Oryzias latipes: one gene and its partner. The main gene of each other region encodes a partner of the protein of the gene in region 2 in a complex. Links are inferred from orthologs where the notes say so. Each region holds a gene or a part of one and is shown on either strand. Other genes may lie near its edges. The genes, in order: hcrt and hcrtr2.

Region 1 (4,315 bases), on a different chromosome or scaffold from region 2:
CTGGGAACTTTAGACGAGACCAAGACACTTCAGGTCGTTGGCCAATTCCCTTATGTAGTTTTAGACTGTTTTCTCACAGTTCTTAGGATCATTTTGTACCCCGCCAGGTGAGATCTTTCATGGAGCTCCAGCAGATTGCCACTTTTTTGCTCCAACAGTTGATCTCTTCTCAGCAAAAGAGGGCTACATTCTCGTCCTCTTCTGTGGCTACAATCTTGTCCCTGGTGTCCTCAGGCAGCTCTTTGGTAGTGGTGAAGAGGTTGCTGTCTGACTGTTTATGTGTGTGGACAGGTGTCTCTTATACAGATAACCTATTCAAACAGGTGGTATTAATACTGGTAATGAGTGGAGGATAAAATAACTTCTTAAACTATAGAAATCAGTTTTAACTTACATTTAAAATTATGTGGAATATACCAAAGACCAAATGGACCATAGGACACATTTTGGATATTTTTCTCTTACATTGATGCCACTAGGGTTTCGTACGGGTTAAAGAAGGAATAACAGGCCTGTGAGGGACAGAATTCTTGCTTTTTTGTAGGAGATACATATACACATGTATATATATATATATACATAGTGTGAGTGGTTCAGTCACTACTTTCTGGTTTAAGAGAAGAAGCCTTTTACTTCATTGATCGAGATATTTCACACACTTCAGATTTACAATGACTTTTTGATTTAATCTCCAGTCTATAATTATAGAAGAAAAGTATTTTCCTTCCTTAATCACACAAACTCAAATGATTTACAGTCAGCACAATGATTTTTATTGAGTCACCAAACCTTTTGAGACACATTTGTGGAGCTTTCCGACATCGCCTTGTAAAAGAAAAATGTAAGAAAATAAAGGAAAGAGTCTGTCCAGAAGAAAAGAAGTGACAGTGACCTCTTCAGTTTTTTTAAATACCTGTCCTAGTATCATTTATTTTAGAAAGGAAAAGGTGTCACGATAGTGGTTTTAGACAGGGCCAACCACTTCATGTACTCCTCCCCTGCCATCTCCTCAGTCCTCTTCCCCATGGTCAGGATTCCTGCTGCTTGGTTCCTGGAGCTGTGAAGAAGTTGCTGGAGTCGACTTTCCAGGCGATGCTCCTCCTCGTTCCGCTTTCCCAGAGTGAGGATCCCAGCAGCAGCATCTCCTGCACGGGCTCCACCAAAACTCTTATTGCCAGAGCCACAGAACAGCGCGTAAAGGGGACAGGACCGAGACGGTTTTCTGCAGCACTCGGCCACACTGTGAGGGTCACAGTCCGCTTGAGACAGGAGCAGCATCAACACGAGGGCCAGGGATTTCTGCTCAGCAAAACAATCAGACATTCCGAGCAAAAAGTCATCCAAAGGAAACTTCCATTTAAGATACTTCCTATCTGACAGCCGGCATTTTATTAAGTACTCGGTGGCATTTCCACTGCAAAAACGGAATTCTAAGAAAGGTCTTTATTTTGAGAAAAATTGTCTTTTCTGTCTTATAAGAAAAATAATTTTATCAATACAGTTTTTCAATAGCAAAAGAATCTTAAGAAAACATGATAGAAATTTTCATAAGAATTCTTGATCAGACCATTTTTCATTCCCCATTGGCAGATTTATTTAGCTTATTTGAAGAAAATTATTTAAATTTGAAGACTTCTAGACTTATTTGTTTCGGCACATGTTTGGTGGCTGGCTCAGAGAAGACAATTTAAAAAAAGAATGCAATTAAAATATAACATAAAGTAAAATGATTGTAAAGGATTGCAAACTTTTGCTAAGATGGTTGTTCAATTAATTAATAAAATGTTTTTCTTTAAGTTTGTCCCACAACCTGCTTTAATCTTGGTGAACATAATAATATTAACTTTGTTAGACATTTAATATATTCTACCGGGTTTTTCAGTTGTTCTAACTTATTTTGGTTTTTCAACCTTTCCAGTCTTTTTTTCAAAATCAGTTACGAAAATTTTGTTTTTTTCATTAATAGCTTCAAAACAGACACAAGAAAACTTTTGCTCCTAACTCTTGACAATAGAAAAACTTGATTTGAGAATAAAAAAAAAAACGTAAACTGGAGAGTTCAGTTTGGTTCAATTTTAAGAAAAAGTTCAATAAATGAAGCAAAGATAGACCAACATTCATTGTCATTATTCTTTATTTTCTAAGAATAAGTGCTAGTTTTAGATTTCATGAGACTTTATTAAGATGGGCCAACTTGTACATGTTCGCATTCTGTTCTAAAATGAGTAATTTCCACTTATTACACTATTTTTGGCACTGCAATCGAAATGAACTACAATTAGGTAGATAAAAACTCAAAACAAAATCAAATCATTTGTTTAGAAGACTTATTATTGGTCTGTTAACATTCGATTTGAAGTAATTCTAACAGTTAGCTTTTTTATCTTATTTTTCCCTTTTAAAGGCTTTGTGGAACTCTTGGTTTCTAGATTTTTATATCTTACTATAGGATTTCTTGTTTAGTAAAGTTACTTGTTGCATATACAGATTATTTTACAACTTTTTCGTGTTTCTTTTGTCCTTTTTTTGGGCTACCTCTTTTTGCAGTCTGCACTAGCAAAGAAATGCCTTCTGTTTGTCGAACTTTTGACCAAAGAGCTTTAGCTAAATTCCTGGTTAAACAGAGATCATATATTTTTATGATTGCGATATCAGCCAACAGCATTAATATTGGTGGAGCATAGTGTGTATTTGGAGTTCTTAAGTAACATTAATTTACACAAAAAGAGATGGAAAAAAACAAACATTTAATAGATTTTTGTTAACGCGTGATACATCTGTCTACATGCTTGATGGTGTGTTCATGCTGTAACTACTCTGAACTAAAGCCATTGGCCTAAAGAAGCTTTCAGGAATAAAGTCTTACACACAGTACTAAAAGTACAAATATTAGTGATAAAGAAGAAAACGAAATGTTTTACCCTGTTGGACGTCTCCATTCCAGCTGCTCTGTAGACGTTTGAGGGGTCCCACATCTTCTGTCTGGTGTTAAAGGTAGTCTAGTTTTCTTATCACTTCATGGAGCAAACGGAGGTCTTTTATATAGTTCTGTGTGGTCCACATCATCATTCCTCAAACCGGCCGTGGTCATGACAAAAACGTACTTTTTTTTAATATCTCATTGAAAGTGCGCCGTCAAGCTTGCAGCCGTTAATTAGACTCGTGTTTCAGAACATCTCCAGGACGTTTTTGAAGAAGTGCAGAAATGTCTTTGTAGGGTTTATTAGGAGATTCCAGCACAATGAGTGCAGAGAGACTCCAGTCAATTAGCTAATGTGTTTGCTGATTCAAAGATACAACACAGAAACGTAGAAAGAAAAACACATTATTATCTTTGACTTTTCTGATGACAAACATGTTTGAAGGGCATACTAATGAGGGGTCATATTTGTTTTAAACAATGTATCATAGTGACGCAACAGAATTGACAAAACAATTGACTTATTTTTAGCATTTGCAGCTAAAATTAACAAAAAGTGATGTTTTATTAAACTTTTTAGTCCAAATTAAATCTTTGATTTAATGATTTTTGGTTAAAACATCACATTTCCTTAAAAAGCAACAACCGACTGTTGAACTCTTGAATCTTCACTATCATTTATCTAATATTTGTTGCCATCTCATGGACATTAATATGCACTGCTTTCAATAAACACAATCAGTCATGATAGAATAAAAGGCCCAGATCAATAAAGAAATCCTTTTAAATCAAGATCAACTAACTGAGTACCACAGCACTTCAGAGGAAATCAATATGCTTTTATAAAACCGTATCGATTTCTTTAGATTGAGCGTGAAGGTTGCTTTCAATATGTTCTAAAAGGCTGGTTAGCATGTTTGTGTGTAAAGGTCAGTCTTAGTGTGAAGTTACATCATTTTCAGAGCAGCTCGATTTTGTACTTGAGCTTATAAGGGTTCTGTTTAGTTTGGTTTTTTCATGTTGTTTTTGGTCATGTTCTAAGTTGCCCTTTGTCTGTCACCATGCCTGGTCTCCTGCATTGACAGAAAGACCTGTGCAGGGTCACCGTGAACACTCCTTTCTGTTTTCTATGGAGGATCGCTGGGGCCGCTCCTCTTCATGTCTATTCCTGAGGAAGGTCGCCGGGGCCACTCTTCATGTTCCCTGTCCCAGAGGATGGCCACTGTTTCTCCCCCTTGGCCATGTTTCCTGTTCCAGAGGAGAGTTGTCTGAGGCGCTACTCTTCATGTACATTCCTGTGGAGGATCGCCGGGGCCGCTCCTCTTCATGTCTGTTCCTTTTGATGGTTGCCAGGGTCATACTTTATTTTCCCCCCTTCAGGTGTCCAGTCTCTGG
Region 2 (3,824 bases):
TGCAAAGTAGGTAACAATGAAGAAGCAGGTGTGATAAATCTTTGGGTAGATCTCATCTGGGAAAAGAAGAACAGTTGACAACTCAATACACAGAGGTGGGTGGTTAATTGATGTTTGTCAGCCTTGCAAAGTAGAGATAGATAAAGACTCAGACAATAAAGATTAATTGGCATCTGTATTTGGATTACAGGTGAAGCATGAGAGGCCCTGTTTTCAACATTCCTTTCTGTTTCTTTTTGGAAGCTGAATTTAAGTGGTGAAAATTGGTCAAAAATGAATAAACATGGAAAAATGAGAAAAGTTGTCATTCTTTACCTGAAATTTTAACAGATAAATTACGGATAAACCATGTTAAAAACGGGAAGAAGTGTGAATAAACAGTGCAAATAACGCATACAGTGTGGGGGGGGGGGGGGGGTATTTAGTCAGGCAATTGTGCAAGTTCTTCCACTTAAAAAGATGAAAGAGGTCTGTAATTTTTTATTATAGCTATACCTCAACTATGAGAGACAAAATAATTGGCTGTGTGAACCGTTTGAATAAAGAAAAAAAAATGTGATTTGACATGCCTTTCAGGTAATTTCCAGTGCACACAGTGTGGCCTCTAAAAGAGTGAAAAATCAAAATGCTTTGACACATTTAGAAAACCTCTGAGACCACTTACCTCCCCAGTGTTCATCGCACACTGTGAACAGCCTGGTCTTGTTTGTAAGTTCAGGCAGCAGACTGCTGCACTCCATCACAATGGCCTGAGGAATCATGATTATGCACGACACAACCCAGATGGCAACAATACTCTTGCGAGCCCTCCTGGCTGTGCTCTTGAACATGAGCGGGTGACAGATCGCATACCAACGGTCCTGGGCGATGCAGCTCAGTGTCAGAACTGACACGCAAACAGAGATAGTCTGTAGAGGAGACATAAAAAAAAAAAACCTGCTCAACAGAAACATGATCATTCTGGGAACACAATTTTTTTATGCAACCAAAGTAGATGCCAGTGTTTCTTCTTTGGATATTCTTTCCCAGATAAGATTGTCACTAAATAAATACATTTAACTGTTTGATGTAAAATAAATGGGCTCATTAAATAATTTTAAGGTGAAACCATAGACTTATTTAAAGTTATGGATGACGTCAAAGTTTGTCTCACAAACACAGTTTAGTAGAGCATGACCCTTTTTCATTTTGTGGAAAAACAAATTGATGGTTAAAAGCCTAGCATAAGCCTAAGGAGCTCCAGGGCTCAGTCCAATTCAATTTTATTTATACAGCCCAATTTTACAACACAATTGTCTCAATGGGCTTCACACCAAAAAAATGCTTAGTTTAATACAAACTTTCACTTGGTTAGTCAGTTACTGTCAATGCCATGTTGAAAATTACAATGGAGTCATGATTGTTTTGAAAATATCATCTGCACAACATTTGCCTATAAATGTTTTCAATTATTTCAATGACTTTTTATTATCGGTTTAAGATTAACCCTCTGCATAAAGTTGGAAGGTTTTAGAATTTAAACAAACGTTTCAGTGCGTTTTGTGGTTTTTCAACCAAAAGTAAGTTGTTTCGCAGTTTTATTTTATTTTATTGATTCAAGTTTTTTTTTTTTTTTTTTACTGGAAATTGTAATTGCGTTTTAAGACTGCCTAAGATTTTTCTGTGTATGAAAAGCTTTAAATTATCTCAAAAAAAGACGCACAAAATTGCTTTGCACTGGTCAGGTGGTTCCTAACTGAAATGAGATTTGACACATTTGTAAAACAAACACTAAGAATCACAGTCTTAGAACCCTGAACCTGTAATCTATTCAATATTTATAATTGGAATTAGGGATGAAATAATCTCTGTGAGTAAAACGTTTGTCCTCTGGTATTAAACTCTTTCTGCTTAAGTCAAAACAACCAAATAGTCTTTAAATATATCCTGAAAATAAAGAAATACATGTTGTCAAAAAGATATAATTGAAATGAGCTGCAATGTCCACAAACTTTTTCCTGGCGTGTTATACCTTAAATTCAAAGATCTCCTGCAGTCTGGCACTGTGTTTGATTTTTTTCCTTTGAGGTAAATATACTCATCTTTTTGATGATGTTTGTGTGATAATTTTTGCATAAATGCATACAATTGTCTGTCCAATGTTAATTTTATTTCTGCATTCATATAAGAAATGTATGCTGACAAGAATCTCATTATATGGGGCATAATAATCTAAAATGCAATGATGTTAATTTCAAATTTTGCCTAAGAGACTCATGAGCTGAGCTCATGATTAATTACAATATGTGATGATGCAAAGACCCTTACACCTGCAATAGTCCTTGCAAAGATCGAGAAGACTATTATAGTGCTTATTACTATCATTTTCCTCATTTAAAGCATTGAATAAACCAACAAAGCTTGAAATGTCAGTGTTTAGGTGCAATTGAAAAAGCTGGGTAGCTAAAGTTAGTGGAACAACAAGTGAAGTTACACATTTAACCCTTGTGCTATCTTAGATGACCCACCTTTACATTGACGTGTTCTCTCTACCATAACAATGATGGATAAAGGTGGAAAGATTTCATGTAATCCATGGACACCAGTGAAGATCGCAAATCATTGAAGAAAAAAGGATCCGCGCACTGTCTAGTGGGTCTAGATGACCCAACTCCCAATGTTAAAATACCCAGGATAGCACAAGGGTTAAGAGAAAAACTTTCCGCCTTTGAGTATTTTATTTAAACTTTGATCCAAGTCTAGACACTCATAAACAGGACCGTTTGTATGAAAAAACAACAAATGTGACCTCCTACTCCATATTTGTTTACAATGTTTAATGGATACACAAAAAAAAAAAAAATGACCAGATCATCTGAAAAATAAATTGACAAAGAAAATTAAATTGGTAAAGACAAGAAATCAACAATTTCCTAGTTTTAATGTTTCAAAATTTAAATAAGCAAAGAAATATTCTTTCTAACATAATTTTTGTCTGTCACTAACTGGAGGCGTCAATGGAACCTTCCAGCACACTAATGTGTTCCAGTCAGTCTGTTTAACAACTGGTAAATGGTTTTTAGAAATTGCTGATGACACACTCTACTGTAAGTCTGCATGCAGATGAGCCAGTTTCTGGCAGTCTGGGACAGACATGAAGATCAGCAACAGTTTTTCCATGTAACTGTTTTCTCAGAGCACAGACTCTCAGCGTTATCTACATTGCACAGCTGTCTCGCTGTGAAAAATACTTTAAAGAAGCACGATGTTTGAAACCAGAACAACATCAGGCCTGTCGTGGAACAGGAAGATTCCCATATGAGACAATTTTCCAATTTGAGGATGTTGTAGATGACTTGAATTTTAATGTCCACTTGGCTGAAACTTTGGACAATCATTAAGCAGATAAATCACAATACAATAAGAGAGACCCATTTTACTTTTTTGCTTTGTTTTATCTTTAAAAGAAAAGGGACAAAAAGGCACATTTTATAAATTAGTTCATTCCTAATTCTTCCTTCTTTTTCTTTTTTGTCATTTTTAAGCTATGAGCACAAAACATTTTCCATTTTCACTGTCCATTTCCAGCAATGTGTGCACTTACTGTAACTTTGAGACCCGAAGCTTTAGGTTAAACATTTAAAATTAAGCTTTTGCAGCTTAAAAGCTTGCTGACCGATAATTACAAAATCCCTTTATAAACTGTGTATTTTGCTTTATAAGTTTTACGCACATTAATACATTTACAGTCCAATAGGGTTTTCTTTTTCTCCAATCCTTCGCTCAGTTGGCATGACCTCAGCTTGACTAATATTGTTTTACATTATTTGCAGCTTGCTTTAGCC

What was found.
Region 1: the proteins of hcrtr2 (region 2) and hcrt are in contact, whole or in part, in a cryo-EM structure (PDB 7L1U), measured with the Homo sapiens proteins. The link is inferred for Oryzias latipes from reciprocal best matches to the Homo sapiens genes HCRTR2 and HCRT. Residues at the interface, in NP_001371201.1 of Homo sapiens: Thr111, Val114, Trp120, Pro131, Gln134, Thr135, Val138, Gln187, Val209, Cys210, Asp211, Phe227, Thr231, Ile320, Ser321, Asn324, Lys327, Arg328, Phe333, Ala334, Thr336, Arg339, Val342, Tyr343, Phe346, His350, Tyr354; in NP_001515.1 of Homo sapiens: Asn89, His90, Ala91, Ala92, Gly93, Ile94, Leu95, Thr96, Met97.

Annotation. Positions count from the first base shown.
Region 1 is NC_019866.2:6,190,454-6,194,768, forward strand, and holds hcrt (orexin), read right to left. Parts: upstream 3,067-4,315; 5' UTR 2,976-3,066; coding exon 2,922-2,975; intron 1,300-2,921; coding exon 934-1,299; 3' UTR 618-933; downstream 1-617. UniProt on the Homo sapiens protein: Neuropeptides that play a significant role in the regulation of food intake and sleep-wakefulness, possibly by coordinating the complex behavioral and physiologic responses of these complementary homeostatic functions.
Region 2 is NC_019873.2:24,232,241-24,236,064, reverse strand, and holds part of hcrtr2 (orexin receptor type 2), read right to left. Parts: intron 909-3,824; coding exon 665-908; intron 57-664; coding exon 1-56. UniProt on the Homo sapiens protein: Nonselective, high-affinity receptor for both orexin-A and orexin-B neuropeptides. Triggers an increase in cytoplasmic Ca(2+) levels in response to orexin-A binding.